2 linked regions of the Drosophila melanogaster genome follow. The main gene of each other region encodes a partner of the protein of the gene in region 2 in a complex. Each region holds a gene or a part of one and is shown on either strand. Other genes may lie near its edges.

Region 1 (17,023 bases), on a different chromosome or scaffold from region 2:
ACGATGGCTTGCCGACTGGAGAATTTCAATAAATGTTCAAAAATGCAAGCAGGTTACCTTTACCTTAAACAAACAAACATGCCCACCACTGGTCTTGAATAACATATGCATTCCACAAGCCGACGAGGTAACATATCTGGGAGTTCATCTGGACAGGCGGCTCACTTGGCGCAAACATATAGAAGCCAAATCGAAACATCTTAAACTTAAAGCAAGGAACCTCCACTGGCTCATAAATGCTCGCTCTCCACTTAGTCTGGAGTTCAAAGCTCTTCTATACAACTCCGTCTTAAAACCTATCTGGACTTATGGCTCCGAGCTGTGGGGCAACGCATCCAGAAGTAACATAGACATTATTCAGCGAGCACAGTCAAGAATTCTGAGAATTATCACTGGAGCGCCGTGGTACCTTCGGAACGAAAACATACACAGAGACCTAAAAATCAAATTAGTAATCGAAGTAATAGCTGAGAAAAAAACGAAGTATAACGAAAAGCTGACCACCCATACAAATCCCCTCGCAAGAAAACTAATCCGAGTATGCAGTCAAAGCCGGCTGCACCGCAACGACCTCCCAGCCCAGCAATAAACTTATTAGGGCATTAATGAAAAAAAAAAACTATCACTAAGTGAAAGTTAATTAAGTTAGATTAAGATTTGAACACTTATTGTTAGTCTCTTAACACAAAGGGAAGATTCAATAAATAATAAAAATTAAAAAAAAAAAAAAAAAAAAAAGTTCAGGCAGTCAGTGCGTGATTGAGGCGCAGGACAGGAAAGGACAGGACAGAACGGGACAGGACATAAGCGGACAGTCGAAGGCTCTGCCAGCACATTTGTTGTGGCTGTCGGCATGGTCATGGACATGTAGGCACTGGACACGTCCTCTTTGCTCTTGCCCCGCTTATTTTGCTTTTTTTCTTTTTTTTTTTTTTGGGGCCAATTGACGACTGGCCTTGGATCGATGAAGCACAGGGCACGTTTGTGGGCTACACCGCAGAGAGCGGTTCATAAAATACACGGCCGCAAGTACACATGTTTGTCTATCCAAAAAAAAAAAAAAAGGATGGCCGACCATTATCCTTTCTCGGCTGCTCTGGCAAGTTAAGGACATGCGTAAGTCGCAAGTTTTACGACTTCATTAGACGGCAGACAGTCGCCGGCTGGCCATTTCCACACCTCTTGCATCTTGGAACCACTCAACCGAAACAGCCTCATGACTTGGCGTTTATGGGCTTTTTGGTAACGCAAATTGCCTGTTCGACATTGAAAATAACAAATTTTGAACTCAATTAGAACGGAAATGTCACTTTTGAGTGCATAAATAAGCAACATGTAAATTCCTGTCGATCACAAAAGCAAAAGAGCAGCTAGCTCTCGTTAAGATTTCTCACACTTTTATTGATCGGATCGGCACATTTTCATTCCGTTTTGCTTTTTTGCCCTCCACAATTTGATTAGGCGATATCAAAAGGGTATATACAAGGGTATAAGTATGTATATATATAACACACACAACGGTATCGCTATCGCATTACCAGGTGAATGAGAGAGCGACGGGCAGGTGCTTTATTTCAGCGAAACTAAAAATAAAAACCTTTTCGCCCTCGGGTTTTGGGTTTCAAGTGCAAGCTGCATCATCGCGCTTTTTGTTTGTTTAACGGCACTTTTTGTTGCTGCCACTGCGAAAGTGCTTCCGATGGAAATTTGCGAATTCCCCGGAATCGTGTACTTTTCGGTAACCAAATATTTACGTTCGTTAATCTAATTTGAACTTATATTCGTTTCTTATCGCCGTTTTTTTTTCTTGAGAAATAAACGGCTCAACTATCGTTATGAATGTTGTTTATAATTAGCTGATAAAAGAGGGGAAAATTTGTTTATCAACAGAGAGTCGAATATGAATGTATGTACTATGAAAGCGGAACTGTTTTCAAACTGAAAGCCAAGATTAATATTACAAAATTATACTTTGGCTCAACACTTACTGAAAATGAGTAAGAATATAATTGTTGATTTCTCTGGATCTGATAACTAAGTTTATATAGCATATTACCCTTAAATCGCCTAATTATGCGAGGGTCGTTTGGTAAATTCACATTACGGGGGCATTTCGTGTTATTTGCGTAAGATTTGGGTCTTTTGAGCGCTTCATTACCACCCGTGCCCACTTGTAATTACGACTAAATTAGCGCATTTTATTAAATTCCACGCCCGAACACAACGGAACGGGCCACGCCCTCACCAGCTCCGCCGGACCAGATGAAACAAGTAATCTTCGCATGGCGCAAGGAACCGGATGATTCCAAGGGATGGATGGGTGGTGGAGGGGGGAAGGGGGAAATCGGAGTCAGGCGGGGTCCAATTCAACTGTTTTGCGCTTTGTTTTCGCTGCCTGTTCGTTTGCTTTGTTCGAATGCTTTTTGATAATTTGCGCATTATTTTTTTTTTTTTTTTAGCGCTCTCTGCGTGTAAAACTTATTTTAAAGTCCAAAACCCAACTGGTTTAAGTTCGAGGCAATTAATGCAAAAGTTATACCCCCCCAACTGGCGCCACCAAAAATATACATTTGCATACATATGCAATGTATGAATGTTTGTGTGTGTATACACATTGCTATTGTTTTGGGAAAACCCATGCGAAATGCAAGCTTGAGAAAATTCGCTTCTTATCAATGGTTTGTTTTTCGCTACGCTCCATTTTACATTTTCACGATAGTCGACAAATATTTGATCGTGATGGCCCAAGCCGATACAATAGCCAATGTTTATTCAACAACGACACCTGAAATAACAGCAAAGTGAGACACATTTACTCACTCCGGCGACAGATTAGATTTGCGATGGCCAGGTGATAAGGCTCATCACACTGACATCGGGGGTGTTGAACGGTCTGTATTTCACAAAATACGAGCATACATATATAAATTATAGCTACGCAAGAGCCGCATTTCTCAACATTCAAATACAATTGAGTAAATATGTTTATTTAAGAGCGTTCCATTGAAAATTTGATGAATAACTAAAGATAAAGATACAACATCTATGAGGCAAATAAAAGTTGGTAGCCACAAATACTAATACCAAACAATACGAATTAAGTGAATCGAAAAGCCAGTACCATTAAACTGCTTTAGTTATGGAGAACGTCTTCAATGACTGATATATAATTATATTTATGATTTATCTTCATTTTAGACCTCATTGGCTTCATTAAAAGTCGTAAGAGTATTGGGTATGGTCAATGCCCCGCTGTCACGTCAGATTGCAATATAAATAAATCGCGCGTAATTTATAAACCTATAATTGTATAAACAGATAACAGCTGGCGCCTCGCGTCAAGATCTTGTCACCTTCCCAGCATCGTAGTGTCCATATTTGCATTTCAATCGAAGTTGCCGATCGGCATGGAACTAGTATGGTAAGTAAGTAAGTACAAGTCAATGTTGTTAACTATTGCCTAATGATTGTCATTAGCAGGCGTTAGATGGGGATTACGACGATTGAGATCTCAACAGTTGATGTTGGTGCAGAGCAACAAATTAAGGGAATGAATCAATCGCTGCTTGAAATTGGGTTATTTTCGTTTTCATTTCGATTAAGGTATATCTTATCTGCGTGTCGGTATGGACAGCTGGATTTGTTTATTGTGGCGCAAAGAACACACATTGATTTTTAGCACTTGCAGCCTGCGTTGAGAACTTAATTATTGTGATTTCCCAAACGACGAACAATCAAACATTTAAATCATGTCCGTTTCCTGGCTATAAATAAACAATGGACAATGCCAAGAAGAATGTCAACCATCCCACGATTTTTCAATTGCGTGCTTGCACTTGATTTTATTTTATTTCTCGTTTTTCTTTATTTTACTTTTTTTTTTGTTCTTTGGTGTACTTGAATAACTTATAGGATTCCTTTTTTTTTGGCCATATCAAGGGCATTCAAAACTCACCTGACATTCGCATAGTGCTGGCCGGAATTCCAATCCACATGCTCGATATCCGAAGAGGTTTTGGCGTTGTCGCAAGGCATTTTGTTCGTAACTCGCTCTCTCTCTCTCTCTCTATAGCACTATAAACTCGATTGCAGGGTATCGCATAGTCGGGGCGATGCTGCACCGCAACGCGTGGGGGGTTTTCAACCCCAAAAAGGGAGGGGGGTGGCGGACGCGGGGGAGGAGAGCTCCTTTGTCTTTTATGCTGGCTAGTCTTGCGCCTTTGTTATGATTCTCCTCCGCTGGCCATATATTTGTTTATTCCCAACGATAAACAGAGGCTGTCGCCTTCTTTATTTTTAGCGACCCTGTTGGCAGGGGCTACTTCGATTTTTTGCACAATGTAAACCGAATCTATTGCACTGTTATTCTCCTTTCATTTCGTTTCATTTTTCCCTTTCAACGCCAACGAACTTCTGGCCGTGTGTGTGTTTGTTTGTGTTGGTTAGCTGGTCTATTATTATATCTTTATTCCGCGACAAACTTTAGTGCGTTTGCTTGTTAATTTGTTGTTACTGGCCCGGTACGAGCTGTTCGTTCCACTACTCTACGCTAAATGGCTATGCTTGTTAGAATTGCACATATATTTTATGTATTTTATTTAGCTAAACACGGAGACATATCCTTACACGATATCTACGAGCGACGCGACCAGTGTGACTGCGCCTACACAATTGAAACATGTCACATGCAGTGTGACCGTTCTTGGCTGAATGGAAAAGCTCTCACTCATATAAAATTCAATAATAGGTTAATAAAAAAAAAATACTGACTTATTTTTTAAATACAAACGTATTTACTCTAACAATATAAGTAAAAAGCTAAAATTATTTTAATGTCTATTTAGGAAACCTATCGATATATCGATACACATTTTTTTTTGGCCACCCTAGAAATTGCTAACGTATTTTTAGCAACAAATTGAATTCCAAATTTGGAAGTTTTGCTTTAGGTGCCCATATTAGGATACAAGCTCGTTTTAGTAATACAACAAGTAATTATCCCAAAAACAATATAGGTTAACTTTTTTCTATTTTAAAATATCTCCAAAATCAAAGATCAAAAGTATCCGGTTTTAATGTAGGTTTTTATTAATATACTTTTCCGTCTAATCCATTATTGACAGTGACTACAAAAAGCGGATAGATTTTATATTATGCCGATTTTTGATAACAAAGGGGGTTCCGTTTCGGTTTCGTTACGCGGGTCTTAGACAATAGTCACGATTAATCGCTACTGTTGCTTATAACGATAAATAAATGAAAGACAAAATAATCAGTGTGGGATCGGACCGAATAAGGAGCGGCCAGTTATTAGCCGCCTACAAAGTGTAGATCGATTTCACGTTGGAGCCCTGCTTGACCATCGTGTCCTTGTGCAACTGATACTGCAGCGAGTTGTTGCGTCCCAGACGCAGGGCATCGCGCAGCTTGTGACCAATCTCAAGGGCAGCTTCCTCGTTGTTTCCGTCGGCAGTCCAGATGGCTGGAAAGCATTAATCGTTAAACAAAGGAATTCCGCTGAAGTTGGGTGTGCGTGAAAACTTACATATCTTGTTGCTCTTGCCGCGAATGTTTATAACAGCGCCGCAGATCTGATCAGAGTGATCGAAGGCCTCACCAATCAGGCAGAGCAGCTGGAAGGCAAAACAGTTGTAGTTACTCATATGCGAAAAATATTTATGATATAAGCTCACTATTGAATGTTCCTAAGACAAAAGCTAGCACTAGCGTATTTTTAGCTGATATTTTCTATAAGTTATAATTTATATTGCAAAATCATACACCTATTTCTATATTTTTGCATTTCAAGAATGTACATTCACTATAAATAGACCATCCGCTCACCACTCGTTTCTTTGTGCACTTACCACATCGAGCCATAGGTTATCCAGATCGGTCTTGGAGCTTTTGTTAAGGGTAATGACCCAACGACCGCCCTGTTTGTTGGCTGCATCCTCCCACATGGGACTGCAAATGAGATATCAGTTAGTAAAGGTTATCTTGGCAGAATTGCAATAAACAGCAAACCCACCGAATGTTCTTCTTGAATAGCGAGTAGTCACTACCCAGCTTGATCTCTGATGGGGGCTTGATGTGGTTGTATAGGCTCCAGAAGTCCTCGACGGTATCGAAGCTGGTGATCTCGTTTTGCATGTCCTCCCAGGACTTGGACCGATCGTTTTCAAGGTACCACAGCGTCCAGACATTCATGAGCGGGTGTTTGTATAAATGCTCGGTGCGCACAGCATCGTCGCCGGCAGGAGCAGTAGTGGTTGCAGTGTTGCCTGCTGGTTCACCAGTCTCCTGTGGGTCCTCCTTGGGCTTGACATCCTTAGCCTCGGCGGGCGCTGCAGCCGAAGTTGGTGGTTCCGGACGACCCTGCTCGGTGCTGGGGGCGCTGGTCTGCGGGAGAAGATGGCAATGGATGGGAAGGGGAATCAGAAGATTAGATTAGCTTGGCTTAGCGACAGGCGCACTGAGAGTATTACTTTGAACATGGACTTGGGATTGGCAAAGTTCTTCATTCTGTGAAAGTCGCTCTGCATGTTGGCGGCCGTGTTTATTGGATGCGTTTGATGGTAGGATCAGTTCTTTTTCGGCTCCGGAGTGGGTTCGGATCGGTTTCGATTCGCCGTGATTCACTTGCCGCTCTCTCTCTGTCGCGGTGTTTGTGATAGTTGATAGTTGGTTGGTGCGTGTGTGTGCGAGAGAGCGAAGCTTTTGATTTCTGTTTGAGTGTGTGTGGATTTTGGATTGTTTCGTGATATCTCGCTCCCCTGCAGTTCGCTCTTCACTTGTGTATTATTAACCAAAAAACTAAGTAATGATAATACAAAAAACTCGTTAAACTTGTTGTTGCTGTATGGTTGAGTGGGTGTTGTAACTAATTATTGAGTATATGGTGTTGGAGTATCCTGTTTCACTTAAAATCGGACTAGGCTACTACTAAAATAGGCGAACTAATGCTGTTCCTAACGAACTCGGAATCGAAAGGGGCGATGGAATTACAGCACACACACACACGCGCACGTATCTGACATAAAAACACAGATTGCCTGTTGAAAGAATTGGAATTGTTGTTTTATATTTGAGTTAAAAGAGTTACTTGATTTTATTTTATGTTGCGGCTAAAATTCGTGTTCGAGTTCAAAGCAGCGGCGCGATTAACTGAAAAAAATTAACGTCAAAGAAAGGAGGTGGAAAGTGAAGAGGGAAAGCCAACGGTTTATTTACTGCAATGGCCGACAAAAATATGATTTAACTGTTCGCGACTGGTTAATTGCAGTAATTCACTCTTTTTCCATTCTTTCCATATTTGTCTCTCCGCTCTCCTATTTATGTATATGTAGCTAAAGAAGAACACACCCACACACACGCGCGCGATGTCTTGACAAGAGAGAGAGAGCGAGAACACTGAAAACGTGTGGTATGCGTATGCAAATGCGAAAGGAGAGAAAAAGAGAACGAGTGACCGCGAAAGAGAGATAGCTTGATAGAGACAGACAGAGATAGCGATAGCTATGACGTAGACAATAGCGTGCAAGTACAATTAATATTAAGCAATTGTGCAAAAAATAATCGGTGAACACAATGATGATGTAGCCACGCCAACTGCACACTTTTCCGCTCGACTATCGCCTCCCCTCTTGTGCAACAACCCTGTTTTTGTTGTTCCTGCCACGGCTCAGCCGAAATCGAAACCATGCGGCTCGCCGTTTCTCGCCTTACCTTCTCCGTCTCCAACACTACCATGATTTCGATGTATCGAAATGTATACTAGATATCGGTTACGCACTCAAGCTGCGTAGGTTACTGGGCTTAATTATTATTCGAATTATTTAATTCTTTAATTAAGTTTGGGATTTTGGTGGCCAGACAGTGTGGCCGTTGCCTAAAGGAAAGTTAGTGACGAGCGACCGAAGGCAGCTATCGATTGTTGAACAGGGCAACTCTGGAAATGCCTGTCACTGACTGATTGTTATAAAACCCAAGCAACCGTTACGTTTTTAAGGTTTCCATATATGTCATCTCTTCTATCTCTTTTCATGCGCGGAATTTACCATTTCACCATTAAAATACTAAAATTGTTAAATGTTTATCGGAGCTAAATATCATACTTTCTATTGTAATATTTGTATTTGAACCGAAATTCATTTTCTGTCATCCAGGTTTAAAATGAAACGATATTAAACAAGTTTATAACCAGTAAGTTACGCCTATTAGGAATCATTGAGGCCATAATAAGCCATTTTAAATAAACGCTTCTTATTGTCAAAAAACAAATAACTTGCTCCCATGGGAACTTTTTCAAGAACTGACCGAGCTTAACTTCCGCATAAAATGGCAAAGCAAATCTTAGAGCTTCAATCAAAGATATAAATGCAAACTTAATTGACATTTCATCTGATTCCCACAGCGCGATCGCCATCAACAACAACGTCATCGTCATTTATCATACACAATTTGTTGATGTTTTGAAGCCAGCAAAAAATAACAATATATTATAAATAATTATCAAAAATGTTTAATACGGACAAGCCCAGAAAACCTGATTTTTGGTTGAAAATTAGGTCTTCGTTTTTATTTAGACACTGGCATCATCAATTGGAATTTAATAACAAAATAACAAACATAAGAATGAATCAATGAGTTTTCCATATAATGCGACTCTATATTGTTTAAGTTTTCTTGAGAATTCCAGAAACTTTCGAGAATATCCAAAAATAAAATAACAAAGTAACGATATTACTTTAGTTAGAACTTGGACGTCATTGGTTAAATTTTGCCACAAAACTAAGTCTAACCTGTTGGTGAATCATGACTAACCCAGAACCTTAGTTGTTACCAAAGCTGCTTCGTATTTGAATCCAACCAAAATTCTTTCCACACATTATTGGCTCGCCTTTGTCTGCTTTAAAAATAGCCAAAAGATCCCAAAACAACATGGGAATATTTATGAGGGATGGATAATATTACCGCTGATGATGTGGCGCTTTTAGAAACGCTTGACTTTCAAAATAGACTGTTGCAGTTGAGACGCAATCCGAAAATTGAAGATGCTTACGAACTTAGCCTGAGAAACGTGAAGCGTGTTTATTATTTAAATAGTTAAGTCATTTTGTAACCGATCAACTGCGCAGTTGCCCTTGTAAATGCCTAATAAGCGGCTTTCAAGAGCTCGGCACGATCGTTGGATCGATGATCCGAAAACCCAAGATCCCTTCCCGAAACCCAAGATCCGTGGTCTCTAATTACACTTGAGCCGGTCTTATTGAACTGACACTTGATCGCCTGTCCAAGTGTTGATGTGATTACCCATCGCATCCTCTATTCCAATCGCATCGCATCTAATTATGCAGCAGTCAATTGCGGACTTCAAGTGCTTGGCGCATGTCTAAACAAAAAAACTTCCGCCGATCTACAGGAAACCCGGAGTCAAAGTTAAACCTTAGGCAGTATACTTTGCATTAATTGGAAGTAAAAAGTAATTGAAGCGCTCAAAGATGCTTAATTGTAAATAAATCATAGTCAAGTGGTTAGGTTATAAAGTTCGATAAATAAGGTTTCGACTAATGGGTACCTTGTAACTTATACAGAACCTGTATAAAAAATTGTACTTTTTCGTACTATTTTCATAAATTATGCAACAAATAAAATTAAGAATTATGAAGAAAAATGGGTATCTAAATGCTAGTTATACCATCAAGATAAGATGATCGAAACCAGATTTCAGACACCCAGTCGCCGAATATGCTTACTGAACCAATGAATTCCGATTGGTCAAAAAAGTATCTTTAAGATACTCGAAACTGACAGCCAACGAGCGCTGAAAATGCCACTTGAATCGTTTCGAAAAGGGTTCTGTGGCAGTCAACAATAGATGGGTAGACCACAAAGCTATTAGATAACTAATTGACCAAACGGCATACATACAATTAATAATGTTTCCATAGGTGTCTCCGCATCACTCCGAAAATATTCATATATCCGTAGTCGAGTGTGAGAAGTGCGAATTTGAGCGACGCCGATAATGAACTTCAAATTGCCGCCACTGGCTTTGCGAATCGAGATTCTAAAGCTGAGTAAGAAACCGGACAGGTGAAGCTCAGACTGCTGCTGGTCAGTGAAACAGTCGGCCAGCCAGCACATCTTCATTCAGATTTATGCAAAACGCAAAACAAAAAACAACAATACCAAGTAGATCTAAAAAGTTAGTATATAAGCAGTGCCTTTTGGTTACTCAGTTATTAGTAGCCCGCCAACTGGAGAATAGCGAATACACGTTGTGATACCTGGATAAACCACACATATAACTCATATTTCAAATCGAATCCACTATGAAGTGCTACATCTTGGCTGCCCTGTTGCTGGTAAATGCAGATAATTTGCATAATTAAGCTGATATTTACGAGCATCTCTGAATAGATCCATCCGATCCATTCAATTAAAGTCCGGGTTGTGGTGACTCTATAAATGTCAAATGTGTCCGGATCGTAAAGTGCAAATACGAAAGTTATACAATGTGCAAAAATTAAGCAAACATCGCGTTACATGTGAGATGAGACTTTAATCACTGATGATGATGATGGTGATATGACATCATACCCCTTCTTTTTGTGATCTCTCGAGAATTGTGTAGCGTGTTAAATTGGCCATAAAGTCTGCTAACCACCCAAGTCACACTTTAATGGTTTGTCTTAATATTTTGCTAATTATTTTTACGCTTAATTCATTTCAGGCCACACTAGCCAGCGGTGAGAACATCTTCAAGATCAACATAACTCCCGAGGAGGCGCAGCAATTCCTTAACAGCGCCCAACTGCGTGGCATTGGCGACATCGAGTATGCCCCGAAAACCGGTGAGAATCCCCTGCCCGAGGCGCGCAACGAGAAGGGAGAGTTCGTCTACATGGGTCGTGTGATCGAGCATCCCGAGGAGTATGTGGAGGAGCACTACGATGCCCATCAGTATCATGGTCAGGATGGTTTGGGTCAATTTGCCTATGGCTATAGGGATTGGAACCAGGGCAAGAACGAGAAGCGCGATGAGACGGGCAAAGTGACCGGATCGTACAAGTATGTCCAACCACATGGCCGTGACTTTGTGGCCAACTATTATGCTGATAAGACCGGTTTCCATGTGGAGGACAATCGTCCGGCACACCTTAAACTGCCGGCCACTAAGACTCCGGCTGTCCTCAAGGCCGAGGAGGAGCACTTCAAGCTGTGGGGTGAGCTGGCCGCCGCCGCTGGCCACAATCCCGATCCTTATGCCGCCGAGTACCAGCAGGAGGGTCGCTACCAGCCCACTGAGCCCGAGTACCAGCCCTACGTGCACGAGGAGCCGCCATATGTGCCCGGACCCGAGGAGACCGGCGAGCCCAAGGGCTTCTTCTACGCCTTCGACTACAATGTCCCCCTGTTGCGCAACAAGGAGGAGCGTGCCGAGCTCGAACGCCTGCGTGCCATCAACAACAAGGATGAGTAAGATTCAGATATTGATCTAGATCCTTATGGATTTGGTGGATCCATCGCATCGCCTTGTATAGGTCGTTCTGTAGAAAGTAGCTAAGACATTTTCACATATTTATTGAAATCCTTCGCAAAATAAATAGCAAACTTTAAATACACTTTTGTCAAATACGATCTTTTATTATTACATACATATACATATAAAAATGTGTGTTTTTCTGTTTTGTTGGCTTTTCATCCGCTAGTGTGTGCTTTTTGTTTGTTGTAGACATTTTTCCGGGCTGCTCCGGAAAACTCTAGATATTTCCAAGGAAACATTATTGCATCTCTCTGAGTTCGTGAGTTTTCCAGATTTCCACCCTTTTGCTGTTACTAGCCACACACGCATTTTTATCATTATAATTTTCTTGTCGTGTCACTCTCTTTTCAAGTAAAATTATTGCTTTTTGCTCTTCGCTTAGAAGACTTGGGTCTTAAACTAATTTAATTTGTAATTGTAGTGTTATGTTTGTTGCTTTTTTGTTGTTGTTGTTGTTGTTGGGTTCGTGCTATAATTTAATACTAATTTTACACGAGCATTTCTCATTTACAACCAGTTAAAAACTAGTATATATACTTTAGGGTTTTCGGTACTCGTTTCAACTCACAATTAAGGAAACTCTGGGCTTAATCTTAATACCAATTGGATGAAATCAATTTTGATTAATTCACATACACGCTTCCTGTATGGCACCTATATAAAAAAATATAATGAACTAAAAACAAAAAGAAAAGTTCTTTTTGTTAGGATTCTCCGCTTACATGCGGTTTTTTCCAGCAAACAAAATTATATTTTATTCGGTATACGTTGTGTGTGTGTTTTCGAGTTCTTCAATTAAATTCTTCGATGTGGAAACAAAATTAGATTTTCGATGGAATCACAATTGAAATTTCGTTTTTTTCTTTTATGGAAATCTGTAGCTAACTTTATATACAAAGTCATTACATGTATATACTTTTCATATGGCAGCTTTGTTCAGTCCGATATTGCAGTTGAAACTATTTGTTTTACCATTTTTCACTGGTGTTTCCCGAATATTTATTCGATTTCTAGTGGTTTTTTACTCTCTATAATATATGATTCGTGAATGGTTTCGTTTGAAGTTGAGGGATTGGGATTGGAATTGGGTTAGCACAAACAATAAACACAGTAAAAGTTAAAAATTCCAACAGTAGTATTACACAATTACAACACAACAAGCACGAACGGAAAATAAATAGAATGAAATGTAGTTTCCCCGTTTCGGTATCCAAAAGGGGAAACTAAAAGTTAAACTTTAAAATATAAATCATAATAGCGACATTGCGGATCTGTATACTGTTTTCGCATTCGGCTATACTAAGGTACATAAGTTAGTCGTGGCACTAAAGAGCCGGCTTTAAAACTCCCTCCGCTGTTTTCACTGCCCCTCAACTTCAAAGCGTGGAGATCAATCGATCCAGGGTTAGGGTTCTTGGATCTGCGAAGTTTCTTAATACTTTTGCACGGATATGGATATGGATATGGATGGATGGATGGATGGATGGATGGATGGATGGATGAATCGATGGGCAAATGCCTGGTGGGTGTATGGTTCACGATGAGATGATGTGACAATTTGGGAATGGAGCTAGTAGTTAGTCTGGTAAGTTCATTTGGCGCATGAGTTTCATTCGACGATTATGTTTTTAAATACATTTATTCTCGTGTTTATCAACTGGTTCTTGCTAGGTTCTTGTCGCTCTCTCGGGCTTGTTGTATATAAGGCAAACTGTATGCGAATCATACATATATTGAACTATGTAAATACGTTTATCATTCTGTCAGTTAAATGCCGGGGAAGATCCTGGGAGAAGCGCTGTCGTCTATAAATGTCTATGAGCTGGAGCATGGCACAACTGTTAGTTCATCTAGTCCTGGTTCTGAGTGGCTATCCAAAAAATTGACCAACGGTGTAAAAACGGGTGTGTGAATGCTTGTATATATATCTGTATATATAAATCTTGTATATGCTACACGACTCTATCCACGACTCTAAGCCCTAAGTGCTGACACAGTGACACTGTTCACTGGTAGAGTGCCGCCTCCTCTGGCTCTCTATCGTCCTAACTTCCCACTTACCTACGAGATTTTATTTATTTTTTTTTTGTGTGTAAATTCAGGATTATCTCTACTTGGCCGCCGCTGCCGCTGCTGTGGCATTGGCCGGCGAAACTTTCAGCTTGATGAACATGCTATTGTCGCCATTGGTGCCGCTGTTCAAGTCCAGCTTCTGCACCTCGCACTCCAGATTGTTGATGCAGTTCTTCTCGTACTGCGTTGTTCCGTTGTCCGAGGCGGCGGCTTTTTCTGTCGGCTGTTCACTGGGCGCCACCTTCTTCTCTTTGCTCTTTTTCAGCGCATTCAGCAGGGTCTTCTCTTTGCTCTTGCCCTCCTTGTGACTATTGTCCTTGTCCTTGTGCTTGTTGTTCTTGAAGCGCGGGAAGATGCAGCCGTTGGGCAGGAAGCCGCCCAGTTTCTCCTTCTTTGCGGGAGCAGCAGGTGGAGGAGTTGCTGTAACGACGGGAGCAACAACGGGAGTTGGAGTTGGACTGGGCGATGATGTGGCTGTGGCTGTTACTGTGGGTGTTGCGTGGCTGGGTGTGGGAGTGCTAGCACCATTTGTGGCTGCCGGTGGTGCAACCTTTACTTCTGGTTCGTTCTCCACTGCCACCGGCTGATTGTCCAGCACAGTTGTTGATCCATTCAGCGAGCTGCCTGCATCCGTTTGATCCACGCAAGCATCCTCCGAAACTGGCGATTGCTCCTGCTGCTCACCCTGCTCGCTGGCCACTTTGTTGTCCAGCTGCTGGGCAAACACGGCCAGGGTGATGCCATTGCCATTGCCATTTCCCTGCTCTACCAGCAGCGGCTCAGACAAGTGAGCCGGCGGCGAGCTGGCCTCGTTCACTGCAGCACCAGCACTAGCTGCCCGCGATGCATCCGGCGATTTGGGAAACATCTGTTGCGTGGTGATGTTCTGGTAGTGCTGCTGCTGGCGCTGCTGCATCATCTGCTCCTCCCTCTCGCGATCGCGCTGCGCCTGAACGGCATTCCAGACATCCTTCAGCTCGCCGGAGATATCGCGATCCTTGAGTATTACGGCGTTTCTGGAGATGTATTACATATATTTTTATTCTTGTTTTTAATCGGGCAGTAAACTAATAGTGTTATTATATACCTGACTAATTTCACGCCTGGATTCATAGCCTCCACAAAGTCGCACATCAGCTCCACCATAGCTCGTCGCTCCTCAGGATCTTTGCTGTGACGTCCGGAGTCTTTGAGCACCTCCGGATTGGCCATTACGGCAAAGACAATGGGAGGACTGCGTGGGCTGCCAGGCGGTACCTTAATGAATAAGAACATTAACATAAATAACTAATAAAGGAAACACCGACGTGAATGTTTGAGGACACTTAATCTAAGGAATCTTACCCGCATGCCTCCGTAAAGGGGAATGGGATCGCTGGGCTCCTGCGGTATCACAATGCGCGTCCAGCTGAGGACATTGATGAAGAGCTCCTCGCCCGCCTCCGTGGTGGTGCGGATGCACATGTGGGGCTGTGGCGGATTCTTGAAGTGGCGATAGGCCCGCGAATGTCGGTAGCTGTGCGGCGGCGGTGAGGAGTTCATCAGACTGAGGCCGAGTCCTGTGATGCCATTGTTGCTATTGCCCTCGAGTTCCTGCTGCTGCTGCGGATCCTGGTGCATCTGAAGCTGGGTTTCCGTATCTAAATTATTGTTGTAGCTATTTGTTGTGGTTGCATTTGCATTGATGGCAGTGTTTGTATTTATCTCCTCGCTTTGTGATTGATTTTGTTGTTGTTGCTGGGATTGTTGCTCCTGGGCTGAAGCCTCCGCCTCGAGTTCGGCCGCAGACATGGTTTTGGATTTTATATAACTATTCGGCAGTCTTTAGTTTAATCAGTTTCAATAAGATATCCTTTTGTTTCTCATTCGTTCACTGGGATACGTTTGAATTCGCCATGCGGCGAGTGTGTCGTGCGGCGAATTCGTTAGCCGTGTTTTTCGTCCTCTTTGTTCTACCACGCACTCACACCAAAACACCAGCTCTCTCGCTCTCGCTTACAGGTCGCCTTCATACAACATTATTATTGCTCCTTGGATCCTGGCTGCGTGCCTAACCTGTGACCTTTGGCGTAATTAATGGACTTGCCTGCATATTAGGGCCTACGGCGTATTATACCCCACACAGTTGACACTAATATCCTCCAGAAATTCAAAGTCTTTTTATCTGGCACGCACACGAATGCAAAACACCCTTCTGCCTTCCTACACACGCACAAGTGGGAGTTGGTTGACTACGGGGGAGGTGGGTGAAGAAGAGAAGAGAAGACAAGGTGAAAACATGAAAATGGAAAAGTTCAAAGCGTTTGCGGTGCCACACTTACACATTTCACTGATTTTCATTTATAATAATCACTTTTCCATTGCACCATGCACACAAAAACACACACAAACAAACGGGCGCAGTTACATACTTATGTATATATGTATATATACACACACGATGCGTTTTCCTGACTCGCACTCACATAATTTCCCATTAGAATGGGCAAACAATGCAGGCAGCGGAACGTGTGTGCTGCGCTGATTTTTATATTTAGCTTTTTAGCAGCTTTTCATGGCAGACGGACACACGGAAAACAGCCGATTTTTCCGACAACCCAACATAAACAAAAAACTAATGGGTCAGTGTGGCCAGATGGGGTTGCTGCGCAATTTCAGAGCGTTGCCATTAGACAAGAAACACCAGGGCTGTCGTTACATATGTAAACAAACAATAATTTAAAACTGCATTTAAAAATAAAACAAAAAATTGAATAAATCTTTAATAAATATTAAGCAAAAGGTCATTACAAGTTTATTTCACACAAAGTACGAAATCGATTAATTCCATAATCTAGTTCAACGAACCAGTTCTGCTCATCATCAATCAATTCACGTGCAGCCCTCGTCCAGCCGGTTAATTTTTTTGCACAAGCGCTGGACAGAAAAGTGTAATTAAGCGGCTTAAAACGGGTTTACATTTATAGTATAACTTGTAAATAAACAGTTAAGGATTATAATATTATTGGAATACAAGTTTCCAACGCACAACCAAAGGATTTGGTAGAAAGTCGGCCAGCTTGTCCCGCAAATTTTCCCACAGGGGTGTGTGTATAACAAAATGGCGTCCTCGCAAGTCTCAAACAAATCGGGCTCCGGTTGGCCGCGCCGCGGAAGCCAAGGCCAAGCGGATGCAGCCAGCAGCAATAACAACGGTACCCAGAAGTACACCAACCAGGCGCTAACCATCAATCGCACCATCAACTTGTGGGTACAACACATTTCATTCATAGACGCACATCATAGATCGATCGATTGTTTCAGATACCCCCTTACGAACTACACATTCGGCACCAAGGAGCCGCTCTTTGAGAAGGATCCGTCGGTGCCATCCCGATTCCAGCGGATGCGCGAGGAATT
Region 2 (16,748 bases):
TGAAATTGTCACGCAATTACACATCGAGTCCTACATTATGGGTATATTAAATTTTTTTTAAGATTGTAAAAGGCAGGCCCAATAAGTATATTCATATAGTCGGCGTTGACAAATTTTTTCAACGGCTTGTGACTTTGTAATTGCATTCTATCTTCTGTCAGTTATCAGCTGTTACTTTTAGCTTGCTTTAGAAAAAGTGTGCGAAATTTCGTTTATATTTGTTTGTTTGGCGTCAATTTTAATATGGAGCCCACAAAGGAGCATTTTCGTCATAGTTTACTTTATTATTTCCGTAAAGGAAAAAACGCGGGGAGGTTGCTAAAAAGTTACAAGATGTGTATGGTGATGAAGCCTTAAAAGGAAGACAGTGTCAAAATTGGTTTCGCAAATTCAGTTCTGGAGATTTTTCACTTAAAGATGAGCCACGTTCATGTCGGCCAAATGGAATCGAATTGGATCGTCATGTAACTGAGCGTGAGATAGGAGAGATGTTAAATATACCAAAATCAACCGTTCATTATCACATAAAAAGTCTTGCACTGGTGAAAAAGCTTGATATTTGGGTACCACATGTATTGAAAGAAATTCATTTAACACACCGAATCAACGCTTGTGATATGCATCTTAACGCAATGAATTCGATCCGTTTTTAAAACGAATCATAACTGGAGATGAAAAATTGAGCTGGTTGAGCTGGATGGTGAACCAGCTCAAACCACTTCAAAGGCTGATATCCACCAAAAGAAGGTTATGCTGTCTGTTTGGTGGGATTGGAAGGGTGTCGTATATTTTGAGCTGCTTCTAAGGAACCAAACGATTAATTCGGATGTTTTCTGTCAACAATTGGACAAATTGAATACAGCCATCAAGGACAACGCTAGACCGCACACATCTTTGGTAACTCGCTTTTGATGCATCCACCATATAGCCCTGACCGTGCACCATCAGACTACCATTTATTTCGATCTGTGCAGAACTCCTTAAATGGTAAAACTTTCGGCAATGATGAGGCTATAAAATCGCACTTGGTTCAGTTTTTTGCAGATAGAGGCCAGAAGTTCTATGAGCGTACATTTGCCAGGAAGATGGCAAAAGGGTAACGAACAAAATGGCAATTATATATTTGATTAATGTTCATTCTTAATTTTTTTAAAAATGCATTTACTTTTTGGGAAACCCCAAACAGGATTGGGACCTGCGAGTTTAAGATTAAAAAACCCTATGATTTACAGTTTTAAAGAGCAATTTTTTAATATATTAAAAAACTTAAAAATATTAACAAAATTCAATTTGACTTCAACGAACATCGTATTTCTTTTTAATGCGTTCATTAGGGTCTATTACTTGAACAGCCTAAAAGTTGTGAATTTTTTCGAGAATGTAAATAAAAAAAGGATAACATGAACGGGAATTTCTTTTTTCCTATCTACACATTCACTTTTATAAAAATAAGGGGAATAAAAAAGTCGATTCAGAAAGGGAGATGAAAAAATACATATGTATTTCTTAGGTTCCCTCGCACTGCTATTTCATTGAACAAAGCTTTATATAATATGCTGATTTCAGAGAGGCAGACGATACGTTTTTGTCACACCCACACCTGTGAAAATCGGTTTTAATTTTTTTTTCGATATGCCAAAAAAATATGTCGACGCCCAATTTACGCCCAAAAACAATTCATTTAATTTATAATTATTTTTCATTGTTCATTAAAAAAAAATGTATGATAAACCGCGGATTTAGCATGTCGACGAGCTGGTTCGCGAATCAAAAACTTATCATTCAAACTGTCACTGTCAAAAATGTTTCACAAGTGTTGGCAACATTTTTTTTTTTGTTTTATTTTTTGTTTTCCCAATTTCTATAGATGTTCCAGAAAAATTTATAAATTTCTCTTCAGTGTATGTTATTATTTCATTATTTAGAGCGACATAACGTTAATGTCGTTATGCTAATGACAAATATATTAAAAAATTATGCATTTTGTGGGCGTTAAATAACTACCAATCTGTAAATGCATTCGCCAGGTGGAAATTTACCCGAAATTTGAAGTCGAGACTTCATTTCTTTCAAGTCAAAGGTCCGAAATAAACAATATTTGAGATGGCGAAAAGGAATAGTTATACACGAAGCACTTAAAAAGGTTTGGGAGTTTGACAATTTGCGCAGAATCAGAGCCTGGCGGCTATCAAATAAAAAAAATTAAAAATTAAATGTTAAGATGAACTACGAAAACAACAATATTACAACTTACCAGTGATAGGAGCAACTATGGACTCAGATACATTTTTAGGAGACACTATAGGAATTCTAAAGAAAAGAAAAATATTAAAAAGGATTATTTAACAATACAAGACAGCATGCTATAGTCGGGGTTCGCGACTTAGCCTTAATTAAATACTTGAATTCGTCAATACAACTTTTTAAAGAACTAGAAATTATCTTTTGGGAGGATTCTATCAGACCGCTTTTAATTAGCAAATAAACGCAGCTTTAGCTGCGTGTCGCCAGATTCTGTATTTTCAATCTCTATATTTCCCGATATATCCACGTTCATACGGACCGACAACCGGAAGAAAGAAAACCACAACATATTTAATTTGAATGCAACTGAAAGACTTAAACTTCTCGTAACACCTTAAACGAAACGTAATATACAAAATTTTATCTGCTTTCCTGAGTTCATAATTAATATCCGATAATTTACTTTGAATAAAAAACTGTTCCTTAACAATGTGTTTCTTACTTTTTGCTTCTCCCTCTTTGGGGCGTTGGTAATATTTCAACCGAAGGAGCATCAGTCATCGCGGATACGATTGGAGTCGGCCCAACATCTGTTCGACTTATTGGTGTTGTTTCTGCAAAATATTTAATAATTAAAACATATCGGTCTTATGTAAAATTTGACGTAAATTTAAAGGTTTTCCCAAACTACTTACCAATGGGGATATAAGGCGCGTTTGTCCGTGATTCTGATCCTTGTGATGATGTACTGGTCAAATTATTTAAACCAACACTTTCTTGCTGTGGAATACGTATTGGACCTTCTGAAAGGACAGTTGCTGGTGTGTTTGTGGAGGTTACCTGATCGGAAAATTCATTGTCTGTGTTTGATTTTGTCTTTAAAAGATAGAAATAAAAATATTAAATGACTCGAAATATAAAGTGCATGTATTACTTGCCTTATCAAAATCGTCTAAAATATTTTTTTTAGTCGTCGGATCGATTATCTGCAATCGATGCTGATGCCGGCGCCGGCTAGCAGGCTGCACCTGCACAGGTTGCGGTTGCACACTTGTTGTCATTACACCAACCCCAACCATTGGTGGCACACCCACTTGCCCCATTGTACTACCAGGACCGCCAACGCCCATTACAGTGCTGGCTCCTGGCTGCACTGTGCTTGTGAGCAATTGAATTTGCGACGAGCTAGCCCCCGGAACAGGGAGAGGTCCATTGGGTCCAGACTGCACTGGCTGCAAATTGTTTCCCACATTGACGTTCGTATTTACCGTGACAGCACTACGAGTATGCGGCGGCTGTTGCTGAAGAGTTGGGACATATTGGTACTGGTAGTATGGCATGGGGGCGGGTGCGTATTGCAAATGAGAAGCTGGAAATGTTTGTTGCCGTGGGTTATATTGTGTGTATTGTTGTAGCACCATGTTCTGGTGAAGGGGTTGTGAGTACATGGGTTGCACATGGACATGCCGTGTTGCTCCGCCACTAGCACCTCTAGGGGCATTAGGCGTCGAGGGTGGTCCTCGAAATATTCCGCCACTTTGTGGATTAGAACGGGTATTCCCAGAATTGTTGTTTCCCGTTGATACATACTGAAAGTATTTAAAAGAATTTAATAATCAGTAAGAGAAAGAAATGGATTGTATTATTATTATTATTATTATAAAGATAATGCAGTGAAGAATGTAAAACTTAAATAATCAGAATAAATATTTAATATATACTAGTAGAGGAAAAGGTTATACTAAATTCTTTGAAAAGTAGCAGTTAGAATGCAGCGTTTCAGACCCTATAGAGTATATATATATATATATATATATATATATTATTAGCCTCACTAGCCGAGTCGATCTAGCCTTATGAACGTAACGATTTTGGGAATTGTGTCAGAAAGTTGAGATCACGCAAGCAGAATCCGTTGGTTATTTGGTGATTTGTCTTGCCAATTTATATCGGCATGTCCTAACGCCCTTAAAGCGCAAAAGGCTGCCCCCAATCTTCCAAAATGTTTAAATGATTTGTATTTCTATATTTTTTCTTCCCCATTTTTTTCGCCTCCAACTAGCTAGTCAAGGAACTCGACTATAGCGGGTTTCTTGGTTTCTTTACATTACATTAGGCACTGTGAGTACAATATAAAAGTATACATATATTCACATTATAAGAAAAACTGCTCATTAAATAAAAAATCGTATTGATATTTAATAAATTTTGGGACCTAAAGTATTTAAAAACTAATTATTAAAAAAAAGGGAGGTGAAATGAAGTTAAGAATTATTTAAAATGAATCTCTTCCTAAAGTCACAGAATTTGCAAGGTTTACCTCTGCTGTAGATGCCGGGTAACTATTATTTGATAACAAACTACTGTTATTGAAATCATACTTTTTACTAGTATTAACACAATTGACGCTAACGCCAACGATATTCTTTTCGTGCATGTAGCTTGTGCCTGCTGTAGTTGTTCCAGCTATTCCCATAGATGTTCCTATTTGCGCATTAGGCAATACTATTTGGTTGTTAATACTGACTCCAGTACAAGAACTTTTTTCACTTCCGACTCCGACGATGGACTTATTTGATACTACTGACCCACTGATGTTGCCATTTTGTTTAATGTCCTGTACATTTAGAAAGCAAACATTTCCATCTAGACTTCCAGTTAATTTTCGGTAACTGGATATGTTATAAATGGCAGTCGAATTCATATCACCCGAATTCAGTTGTCTACTATTTACTGTCAATATGCTTGAACCGTTACAGATAACCGATGACTGGGCTCTAACTGGTTCAGACGCAGATAAGCTTCTATTTACAACGTTTGTATAGCTTTGTTGATGCTGCTGTGTTTGCTGTGGGTGATGGATTGGTGGATGCTGCTGATTCGTCAAGTGTGGGGACTGTTGAGCGATCTGCGCTGATGCCTTAAGAATGGAGACCACATTGTATGCCTTATTTATCTGAAACTGAGGCTGAGCAGTGGGATGGCTATGCTGCGGTTGAAGAGGCTGATGAAGAGATTGTGGCTTTGAAGTTGGCACCTGTTGATCATACTTTTTGGTCTTTTTATTGGCTGGCAAAATCTACAACAGATCACAAGAGTGGGAACATTTTCGGACTGTAAAATTGATTTAACAATGATTAAAAAAAAATGTTGCCGAATATATAAGTTATAAAAACTATTAGATAATTGGTTAATCCTACTTTATTGCACTTAAACAAAGTATTAAAAAAACCAAAACAAACCCATTTAAAAATAAAATGAAACTGAGAAATCAAGAATCGGAATTTTGAGTAGTATTACACTTCTGCACTGTGAAATTTGAATATTATACTTATGCAGATTTTTTAATACTTTTCAGCCTCAAATTTTGTGATAAATAAATCCAGAATTAACAAATATATATAAAACATGCATTGGGTTTGATAATTTTATTAGGGTTTAGAGTTTTTGTCCTACGTCCCCTATGGACAAATAATGTTTATGGGATTTAGCTGTCTAACACAGTTCAAATGATAGATTACAAGATTAATTAATTAATAAAAAAAAAGTTGTGCGTACAAAATAAGAACACTAAATGATTAAAAACAATTAAACTATTATTTATTTTGTTATAGCTTCATTTAATTTTCCGACTGTTGCTCCTTAGTCGTCGCCGGCATGTTGACAATTAGCCTTAAAACCAAAGTTATACGCGGTCAAAAAACGGTGTATATCAAGTTGTCATTCAGAAATAAAAAGTATGAAGCTATTATCTTCTGGACTATTTTATATTTATTTTACTCGGCTGCTGATACTGATAAAGAATATATATATAATTTATATGGTCCCAAATATCTCTTTTACTGCGATTTAAATATATGCCTTATATCATTAAGCCCTTCAAAAGGACATCACTATAAAATACAATATCAAGTTGACATTTTATGAATAAAAACAACGAAACTATTATATTAGGGACTATTATATATGGACTGATTCTGTGACTTGGATATGTGAAATCATTAATCCTTTAAATCAATATAATAAAATACATTTCGAATATTTTTTTTCCCTTGGATAGATTAATCACAATGCGTTTTGAGTTTAGCTTTAAAATTACGTTGCTGAGTGTCTGCCAGTTACCAACAAACCAGATTCAGCATCCATTTTTGGAGCCACCGTTGAAATAAAAATTTTTTTAATTAATATTTTTACCGATAAAAACTATATGATTTATGTATGTTTGGAAAAACGCGGTTTTTTATAGTTTAGGTTTTAAATAAAGTACTTCATACCATGCCCGGAAGAGCTTCATTTATGAATTATGTAGCTTTACAGGACTAGAACAATTATTAGTATTCAATCAAGTTCGTTAAAAAAATTTTTAATTTTTTAATTCATTTAGTAAGTAACTTAAATAATTGTAATCGCAAACATATATTTTATAAATTTTTTAATTGAATTATATACCTTTTATACAAACCGCAATATTTATAAAACAAACATATAAAAAAATTCCACAAAAATAGCATTTTCTTTTTAAACTTTGCTGTTATTGTACGAGAAGTGTGATACTATCTTAATAGATTGTTTACATTGACTACAGCAGGCAAACTTATAAAAAATAGGTTTTAGCTCTTTTCGGAACTAGGAAAACATATTTATTTAACGAACTAATTTAAAACAATTGCAAGGAAAGTAATACAGCAAATAATGTCAAAATGTATATATGTAAATAATTTTGGAGATGTTATTTTTATATCGACTTACCATATTTTGTGCTGAATGGGGCTGCATGGCTTTATCTATATCTGATTGTGTTGGTAAAGTTGGTATAGCCTGTTGCATTACGTATGTGTATTCCTAGAGTTAGCTCTGTAGGAAATCGCCAAACGGTTAGATTTACCGTTTCATAGACGATTTCTGTGGTGATTTTGGACCCACAAATACGACGTCATTCAATCATTTGATTCTTTAATGAATATTAATGAATATTAATTGTCCACGTTTCAGTTCTGCATATTTTACCTGGAAATATATTGATATACAGCTACCAGAGAGGTCTCTGAAATTAAAAGAACTGACACGTATAAAATCATTAAATATCACAAAAGATTTCACCCAAATGTTTCAAAAATATAAAGTAGACATTTTGTAATTTATTAAGTCTAGAGCTGAAGCCCAGAGATAATTTCTATTAAACATTTGCCAATCCATCCTGGAGCCTTACTTATTTGCCGACGTTGCCGTTGTGACTTTGGAGATTTCGTTCTCACAATCACAATGGTGCATATGGTGAAAACGTGCCACGAATTCCATCGTTTACATCATTTTTAAAAAGTTAAGACACATTTCAGAATGTTAGTGGTAAAATCTTTTTTCCCTTCACTGTGCACAGTAAACTTGCAAAGTATCATGTAATATTTGTTGCCCAGTGCTCATTATTAACCATCAATTTACCTGAGCAAATGTTTGTATGTGCCTATCCGACGTGATTATGTACAAAAAATACAAATGTTAAGAATTCCACTTTAAGTGTATTTTAAAAATGTATTTATTTATAAAAATGAAGCAGTAATTCCAGCTTTATCTTTACATTCAAAAACTATTTTTTAATAATTTCCACATGCAATGTGTTCTGTTCATACGAACAGAGTTGCATTTATTATTTGAAACATCGATAGCACACAAGAAATAGTGATAACTGAAGAATATCATTATCAACGATAGTTAGGTCACATTTTTAAACGCTTCATCATTAATAATTTAATTTTTTGCTAACCATAAGTTTTTAAAAATAAAAAAAAAATCATATTTCAATGTTAATTATTTACTAAAACTACTTCATAATACGTTTATTCTATTGAGGTTTGCCAAAATTATAATAATGATTGTACATGCTATGCCAGCGTTCAATTCCTGATAATGAGCCCTTTCCGCAACATGGCTAAATAGATCATTATATCTAAGAATACAACATATGGGCAACTTTAAAACAAAATGTTAATTTCATCGTAATTAGGGTTTCTTGAACGTAAAATATAATTAGTTAATTATGGCCAAAATAAGACCCTTTCACACTGACTAAAATACATATGACAATAAAGAAATTGGTAAAAAACGATTCTATATTACATCAAAATATCGATAAATAAAAGAATTTAAATCAAAACAAAAATAATCCGTATTCAGACCCAATTATTTTATATTATTATTATATATTTTTTTTTTTTGGCACGGGTCCAACGGCGACACCTCCCGACCAACCGAACGAGGGGCGCTGCCGTGTATCGTACGCCTCGATTAGCGAGAGGATAGACGCGATATAAAAAAGAGAACAGGATCGAGGAAATGAATATAATATAAAATAACTATATTAAATATTACTGTTAGTAGGATCTAATCATAAAATAAAAAAAGGTAAAATCAATTGCTTTGTGAGCGGCAGAGAGTCAAGATTACAGATATTAGGATAAAGTCTATTATAATCAGAACATAATACTCTGTAAGGGTCACGCAACTCATAGTTAGATCTACAATGATTTAAAATAAGGAACTGAGAACTGAAATAAGGAACTGAGAACTACTACTGAGAACTACTTCGAACTGAGAAGTTAAGCCGACTAATCAAGTCAGAACTCTTAACATCCCCACGAATAAGCTTACAAATAAAGACTGTTCCAAGCATAGTTCTACCAAAGACACTAGAATAACAAGATGCGTAGCGGCCATACATTGGTTTGGCACTATGCAGCCAATTTTTTAGTGACGGCCAAAATTGCTCTCTTTCCGCTCGCTCCCGCTGAGAGCATAAGAAATCTAAAAATAGAATTTGCTTGCTTGTGTGAGTAAAAACAAGAGACGAGAACGCATATATGTGTGCGTGTTGTGCTAGAAGACGATTTTCGGACCGAAATCAATTCTGATCGAAAAAACGAATTTACATTGTACATATTAGGGTAGTTTTTGCCAATTTCGTAGCAATATGATAAAATAAAATAATTTTTAACTGACTATTATCATTTTAAAGCTTTTTAAATTTGTTTGTTAAAATCGCCGCTCGAATTAGCTACCGTTTACACATTTATATTTATGTTTAATTCTAATTTGTCTCTCATCTGACAATTTTTTAAGAAAGCGAAATATTTTTTTTTTTAAACACTTTTAATGTTAATGTTACATCATATAAAGTCAAATGACATAATAAATATAGTAAATAATTAAATATGATAACTGTTTATTGCAAAAGTCATATCAAAGACACTAGAATTATTCTAGTGTCTTTGCTTTGTTCATATCTTGAAGCACGAAGTACGGACACAAGCACTCAACAATCATTGCCTTATTAATTTTTCACACGCCGCAAGATGAATACTCTAATGACAAATATTCTTATATAAAGTCATTTTTGAAATTTATTTTTGTGATAATATGTACATAGATTTGGCTATTTCTAATCTATTTTCATATAATAATAACGTTAAGGCAATGCAAAACAAGAATTTTTCGCATGGTGCCAATTGATCAAAAATAATATAGATTTAAAGTCAAAGAACTTCTAAGGTGAAGGGCATATTTTGTGAAATTTACAATGCATGAGCGAGCATACGTGTGCACACATACAGTTGTCTGCTATCACTTTATGCGATGAAAAGAGCTGTTCGCTGTAGCACTCTCCGCTCTCTCGCTCTCTAACAAAAATTCGAGAGAGCCTGGAGCCACCTCTAGAGCCACGGCGAAAAAATCGTGTGCCAAAAAATCGTATGGCGTTACGCATCTTGTTATTCTAGTGTCTTTGGTTCTACGGTTAGCTAGGGACGGTAAATTAAATTAACGTAGTGTACTGGAATAAGGAGGTAATATACGGTTTGCATCCCACTTTAGGCGCCGCAAGCAAAACGTAATAAGTTTTTTTGGACCGATTCAATGCGGTCCGAGTGGACTGCGTATTGTGGACTCCAAACAGGTGATAGTGATCCGTACTCGAGAATCGGACGGACTAACGAAATAAATAAGGTTTTAGTCAATTAAGGATCATCAAATTCCTTAGACCACCTTTTTATAAAACCATGCACACCCCTGGCCTTATTGACAATAGACGAAATATGGTCAGAAAATTTTAGTTTAGGGTCCAGAAGACCACCAAGATCATCAACCCGTGTTATTCTCTCCAAAGAGTGCTCTTTGGGTGGGTGCCCACTTAGAGCGTAAGTCATAACGTTACACTTGGAGCCATTTAAGTCTAATACGTTATCACGGCACCATATTCGAAATCTGTCTAGATCGGATTGTAAGTCCAAATGGCACGAAGTGTCCTTGTGCTGAAGGCATAATTTACCATCGACTGCGTACATAGGTACACGCGAATGTTTTATTATTAAGAAAAGGTCGTTAATGAATAAGGTAAAAAGAAGCGGGCCAAGATGGCTCCTTTGTGGGACACCGGATGTGACTCGGAGAATACAAGATAAAGTATTTTTAAAGAGGACTTGTTGCGTACTGCCATTCAGGATCTAAATTGGATTTCTGCTTGAAATCCAATTTAGAAGATCAACAGGGAAACCTCGAATCTTTTTTAGCTGCCGATCTTAGCAACATATGCGGATTTGCTGCGATTGACAGCTAATCAGTTGTGGAGTCCTGTTGATCATTTGCCCGTGGTTGCGGGGCCTTAGGAAGCCTACCACCAGCGGCTTTTTTGCGCTTTGGAGATTCATCTAATAGCTTAAGGCCATTAGACTGTGAATTAAGTGCGGAAAGAAGATCATCGGCTCGACGAAAACTATCTCTAGCTATGCCAAAACAGTTGATCAGTTCTTTCAAGCCACCTTTAGTTTGGCGCATAAACGATTTCATCTCGTTCGCAACCACAAGGCAAGCATCACAACAGTAATTTAGATTTTTACCCTTTGCTAGGTCATCACTTGTACGGCCATTAAAACCAGCGCAGTTAGTATGCACCATTCGATCACATAGCCAACAAGTCATTTTTGGCTGCTCAGGTTTTGTAACCTGCCAACAAATTTTATAAAAGCAGACAACATTTACGGTTTCCATATTTATCTAAAATCAGACCACTCTGCACGAAAACACAAGATCAAAACTTTCAAGCGAGCTGTTAAAAGAACCGCACGAGAGCAGTCTGCACGCTGAGAAATTTAGATTTTGTGTGCGAAAGAGCGAGAGAGTGAAAGCGAAAAGTACAGTTCCTGTTCATGCAAAAAACAACACCAAACAGCACTGCGAACAACGCACAACAGGGAGAGTAAACAAAACACCAAGACGAAAAATGCAAAATACTTTGTATATTTGTTTAACCTACTGCACAAATCACAAAGAATCACTCGCGAAGCGAACGGATCTTTAATAATTATGTTTCAAATATATGATATTTAAAAAAGATTATTAAAAACCACGGCTGGTTTGACAAACACAAAAAAAAAACGCAAAAAAAACCCGTTCGCTTTGAAAGCTATAGACGATATGTTATATGTATATATTCCGTAGGTCTTCAGGCACGAAAGACATACCCTAGACCAAAGACACTAGAATAACAAGATGCGTAACGCCATACGATTTTTTGGCACACTATTTTTTCGCCGTGGCTCTAGAGGTGGCTCCAGGCTCTCTCGAATTTTTGTTAGAGAGCGAGAGAGCTGAGAGCGCTACAGCGAACAGCTCTTTTCTACACATAAAGTGATAGCAGACAACTGTATGTGTGCACACGTGTGCTCATGCATTGTAAATTTGACAAAATATGCCCTTCACCTTCAAAATTCTTTGACTTTAAATCTATAATATTTTTGATCAATTGGCACCATGCGAAAAATTCTTGTTTTGCATTGCCTAAACGTTATTATTATTTGAAAATAGATTAGAAATAGCCAAATCTATGTACATATTATCACACAAATAAATTTCAAAAATGACTTTATATAAGAATATTTGTCATTAGAGTATTCATCTTGCGGCGTGTGAAAAATTAATAAGGCAATGATGGTTGAGTGCTTGTGTCCGCACTTCGTGCAAAGCAAAGACACTATAATAATATGAAATTTATGAAATTACAGTAGTTTTAATAATTTCTATTGTACTTCCTTTAATTAATTAGTATATTTATTAAGTCATTTGACTTAAAGTGATGTAACATTAGCATTAAAAGTGTTTCAAAAAAAATATTTCGCTTTTAAAAAATTGTCAGATGAGAGACAAATTAGAATTAAACGTAACAAATTTTAACAAACAAATTTAAAAACTTTAAAATTATAATAGTCAGGACGCGAATTTTTAAAAAAATTTTTATTTTATCATATTGCTACGAAATTGGCAAAAACTACCCTAATATGTACAATGTAAATTCGTTTCTTCGATCAGAATTGATTTCGGTCCGAAAATCGTCTTCTAGCACAACGCGCACACATATACGCGTTCTCGTCTCTTGTTTTTACTCACACAAGCAAGCAAACTCCGCGGGAGTGAGCGGAAAGAGAGTAATTTTGGCCGTCACCAAAAAAGTGGCTGCATAGTGCCAAACCAATGTATGGCCGTTACGCATCTTGTTATTCTAGTGTCTTTGCCTAGACTGTAAAGGTCCTTGCTAAAAACTTAAAAAATTTATGCATTTCTTATTAGTTTAATATTTATGTAATAAGCATTACAGGTTTGGCAGGCTTGTGGGTGCTAGAGGGGCGTGGCCAACATCTAATTGGTACACCGATATAAATTTGGAAAACATAAAATTTTTTCAGATAATTAGAAACATGTCTCAATTGTGTGGACGGAATGGGCGCGTGAACAAATTTTTTGCCAAATTGAACAAGACATACAATGAACAATATTACATCAGTGGGCTTTAAAGTGGGCATGGGCGTTTTATTTGACTCGGCTATATAAGTATAAATACATAATATGGTCGAAATTTTTTTCCCCACCTGTTACATACCTTTCAACATATCTAGTATACACTTATCACCTACGTTATCGAGTATATAAATATGTTAATTTTCTTAAAAGAGAATGTGTTTTCCTATATGTATGTGCTGACGTACCTCATCTGGATAATTGTTTTATATTTTGAGGATGGTATATAACTTTCTTAATTTAAGATCTGGAATATATCGATAGTTCAAATTTCTGTAGTTATTATCAATAATATAATATATAAATATGTATGTATCTATATACAAGTATATATACATATGTATAGTATAGTATATATACATAAGGCAAATACAGATGATTAAACGCCGCAAAGATGACGCAAATTTAATTGTTTTAATTATTTGTTAATTTTAGTAAATCGAACTAAGTAAAAAAACAAGATGTGGAAAAGTACATTTCTATTTGACGAATTTAGAGCTACAACATTTTTACTGAAATTCGAGCTCCAGAAAAAACTGTTGTGCTTATTGCAACATCCCTAGGAAAAGTCCATTAGTGTGCCCGTGTAAAACGAACACAATGAGTATAGTGAAAAACCATTGTTAGACAGGTGGTAAGGAGTAAGACTACACAGCTCTCTTAAAAACCGTTATTAAATTTTCATGAGAGAGCATTAATGCTTTTTTCTCTTTGGTATGCTGCCGTAATGGTGCTTTCTCTCTCAAATTCCGTGAGAGATGGACAGTTAGAAGGATTGTTGTAGATTGTTGCTAGTATTGTTGTTCTTTTACTTGGCCACTGCTGCTGGTACCCATTTCTTGGTTGTTGTTGTGCTGCTGCTGCCTCTACAAGAACTGATTTCGTGTTAGCTTATCATGGATAAATCAGTCAACCAACTGGTAATGGTAGGACAAGACGTGCGCGTATTAGTTAAATATAAAAAAGGTTTTAAGAAATGTTGCGATAAAGTTGTATAAGAATTTAAATAAGAAAAAAGGTAATTTAATTGTGAACATTATAAATAATTTTTCTAAAGAAAAGAGTTGTGAATAGTGATAAAATTTATTAATTATTGCACATTTTAAAGTTGTTCAATGTTCATCATAAAACAAGGAATCTCGTTGACAAAAATAAACACAATTAAAAAAGTTGCACTTTTCCACACGTACATAAGATAGTTGCACATGAAACCTACTGTAAAGGACTCAATATTTTACAATAACTTTGTACATATATGAAAATAACTGCAGATAAGTATGAGTGCCCTTTTTTAGGGCTTTCGCTAACACATTGCTTTTGCAGCTTCAGAGCAACGCCATCATCAGTACCATTCTTTTTGGTACTTGGCTTGTCCTTACATTCCAAAGCTTTTGCTGTTACGTGTTAATAGTGCTTTTACCACAGGCAAGAACCACTAAATTATATAGAAAACCAAGTATTATGAAAATGCTTGGTGTTCTGACAATCCCACACCTGTTGGAAGTGCCCAACAATTTTGGCTATAAATAATGTTTTACCTGGTGTGCTAAGTAAATACTCATTTTTTGTTTTAATACCAGTGCAGAGAGTATATTTATATCAATCTTAATATTTTTAGTTTTAGAAAAAATTGGGCATGGATTTAAAAACGAGCCTACGTGATTTAATTGTTTTTATTTTCAAAATGTATCGGTATGCCAAAAATATTATTATAGCTTTCTCCCTACTTATACCCGTTACTCGTAGTGTGTTCGTTAAAAAGTATGTACCAAGAGAGGGTAGCGTTTTCGACCATATAAAGTATATATATTCTTGATCAGGATCAATAACCAACCCGTCATGTCCTTCTGTCCGACCGAATAAACGTCGAGATCTAAGAAACTATTAAAGATTACAGATACTAGGGACAAAGACGCCTACCACCCCTACACTTTTGGAAAATGTTTTGATTTTTCTTCGTTTTATTGTTTGTCTTGCCAATTTCACCGGTATACGCCCAAAACTGTCACGCGCAAACTGTTGAACAATTTTTTAGTTTTTTCTCATTTTATTTTCCAATATCTATCGATATACCAGAAAATTTATGAATTTTCTAGTTCGCGTTTCCACCAGTTGAGTAACGGATATCTGATAGTCGGGGAACTCGACTATCTCTTATTTTATATTATTATTTGTTTAGCTTAAAAACGCCCACACTCATTTTTGAAAAATTGTTGTTTTTATTTCGTTAAGAGATTTGTCTTTTATGATTTCTATCGACAGGGCAAAAATGGTTGAAATTTCTCCATCGCACTCCAGCAAGTTGAGAAACGGCTATCTGACAGTCGATGAACTCGACTATTTCATTAACTCTTGTTTCTGTTTAAATATAATAAGCTTGTAATATATTTTTAATTATAGAATTTTTTCGGTTCCCATAGACAAGCATCAACCAAGGACATGCAAAAACATGAACCTGAATTTCACGTTGCGGGCCTAATACATTGTTAACTTAAATCATCCACGTGTCTTTAAAAAGATGAAACAGAAAAATAATAACGGAACAATTTTAGTCGTCGTGATGGTTTTATCCTGGAGTCGAGTAGTAGACTTAAAAAGTCCTAGTAACACACATACTCAGGATTCAGTGTCTGTTTCTCTGCCTGGCGACATTATACTTGGTGGGCTATTTCCGGTCCATGAAAAAGGTGAAGGTGCCCCTTGCGGACCAAAAGTATATAATAGGGGAGTTCAACGCCTGGAAGCAATGCTGTATGCTATAGATCGTGTAAACAATGACCCCAACATACTTCCTGGAATTACGATAGGAGTCCATATACTTGACACCTGTTCAAGAGACACATATGCCCTCAATCAGTCGCTTCAATTTGTCAGAGCATCCCTAAACAATTTAGACACATCAGGATATGAGTGTGCAGATGGGTCAAGCCCGCAACTAAGAAAAAATGCTTCGTCAGGCCCAGTTTTTGGAGTTATTGGCGGGTCCTACAGTTCAGTGTCCTTGCAAGTGGCCAATTTGCTGCGTCTGTTTCATATTCCTCAAGTATCACCGGCCTCAACCGCTAAAACGCTTTCGGACAAAACACGCTTTGATCTGTTTGCTCGAACAGTACCTCCAGACACTTTCCAATCCGTAGCCCTCGTGGACATACTAAAAAACTTTAACTGGTCATACGTATCAACGATACATTCGGAAGGATCTTATGGTGAGTCTTAATCAATGTTCTGAAAGCAGAAAATTGTATACCCTTTCGGTAATTATTTATCATAATTAAATAAAAAATCAAGAGAGAATGCCCTGACTATTAGATACCTGTTACTTAGCTAGTAAAAGTGCGAAAGAGAAATTTCAACATTTTCTGAAATACCGGTAGAACTTAGTAACAGAAGTTTAAAATTAAAAACAATTAACAATTGAAATGTATTGTACGGTTTGTTGGCGTTTGAGGAATAGAAAAATGTTTTTAAATATAGAAATTTACAATAAAAGTCTATATATAAAATATAAAAACGTTTTTTAAAAGTTTAAGCGTGGAATTTTTGGCTTGTGGGCGTTAGAGTGAGCAACATCGGGAAACAATCTTGCGCCTCGTCTATGTCATGCATGCTCAATCTTAATTGTCTAGCTTTTATACTTCCTTAGATTGAGGCGTTTATACGGACAG

Evidence for each region.
Region 1: the proteins of eIF4G1 (region 2) and eIF4E1 are in contact, whole or in part, in a crystal structure (PDB 5T48), measured with the Drosophila melanogaster proteins. Residues at the interface, in NP_001137857.1 of Drosophila melanogaster: Tyr605, Trp610, Pro612, Lys619, Gln620, Tyr621, Arg623, Leu626, Leu627, Leu629, Arg630; in NP_001261626.1 of Drosophila melanogaster: Lys80, His81, Pro82, Leu83, Met84, Val113, Trp117, Tyr120, Asn121, Leu174, Asp175, Leu178, Ile181, Gly182, Glu183, Ala184.

The regions. Positions count from the first base shown.
Region 1 is NT_037436.4:9,394,552-9,411,574, forward strand, and holds eIF4E1 (eukaryotic translation initiation factor 4E1), read right to left. Parts: upstream 7,910-17,023; 5' UTR 7,753-7,909; coding exon of another isoform or gene 7,729-7,752; exon of another isoform or gene 7,366-7,728; intron 7,255-7,365; exon of another isoform or gene 7,106-7,254; intron 7,056-7,105; 5' UTR 6,546-7,055; coding exon 6,489-6,545; intron 6,403-6,488; coding exon 6,032-6,402; intron 5,968-6,031; coding exon 5,868-5,967; intron 5,634-5,867; coding exon 5,546-5,633; intron 5,483-5,545; coding exon 5,319-5,482; 3' UTR 5,067-5,318; downstream 1-5,066. Other genes in the region: CG4080 (uncharacterized protein), read right to left, coding at 3,956-4,035; Cpr67B (cuticular protein 67B), read left to right, coding at 10,338-10,370, 10,739-11,488; CG4022 (uncharacterized protein), read right to left, coding at 13,662-14,640, 14,712-14,881, 14,969-15,415; Cpsf5 (cleavage and polyadenylation specific factor 5), read left to right, coding at 16,725-16,870, 16,928-17,023. UniProt on the Drosophila melanogaster protein: Recognizes and binds the 7-methylguanosine (m7G)-containing mRNA cap during an early step in the initiation of protein synthesis and facilitates ribosome binding by inducing the unwinding of the mRNAs secondary structures.
Region 2 is NC_004353.4:922,829-939,576, forward strand, and holds the start of eIF4G1 (eukaryotic translation initiation factor 4G1), read right to left. Parts: upstream 7,888-16,748; 5' UTR 7,684-7,887; exon of another isoform or gene 7,454-7,683; intron 7,304-7,453; 5' UTR 7,252-7,303; intron 7,196-7,251; 5' UTR 7,072-7,195; coding exon 6,994-7,071; intron 5,324-6,993; coding exon 4,565-5,323; intron 3,834-4,564; coding exon 3,183-3,833; intron 3,121-3,182; coding exon 2,940-3,120; intron 2,859-2,939; coding exon 2,747-2,858; intron 2,311-2,746; coding exon 2,255-2,310; intron 1-2,254. Other genes in the region: mGluR (metabotropic glutamate receptor), read left to right, coding at 15,602-16,289.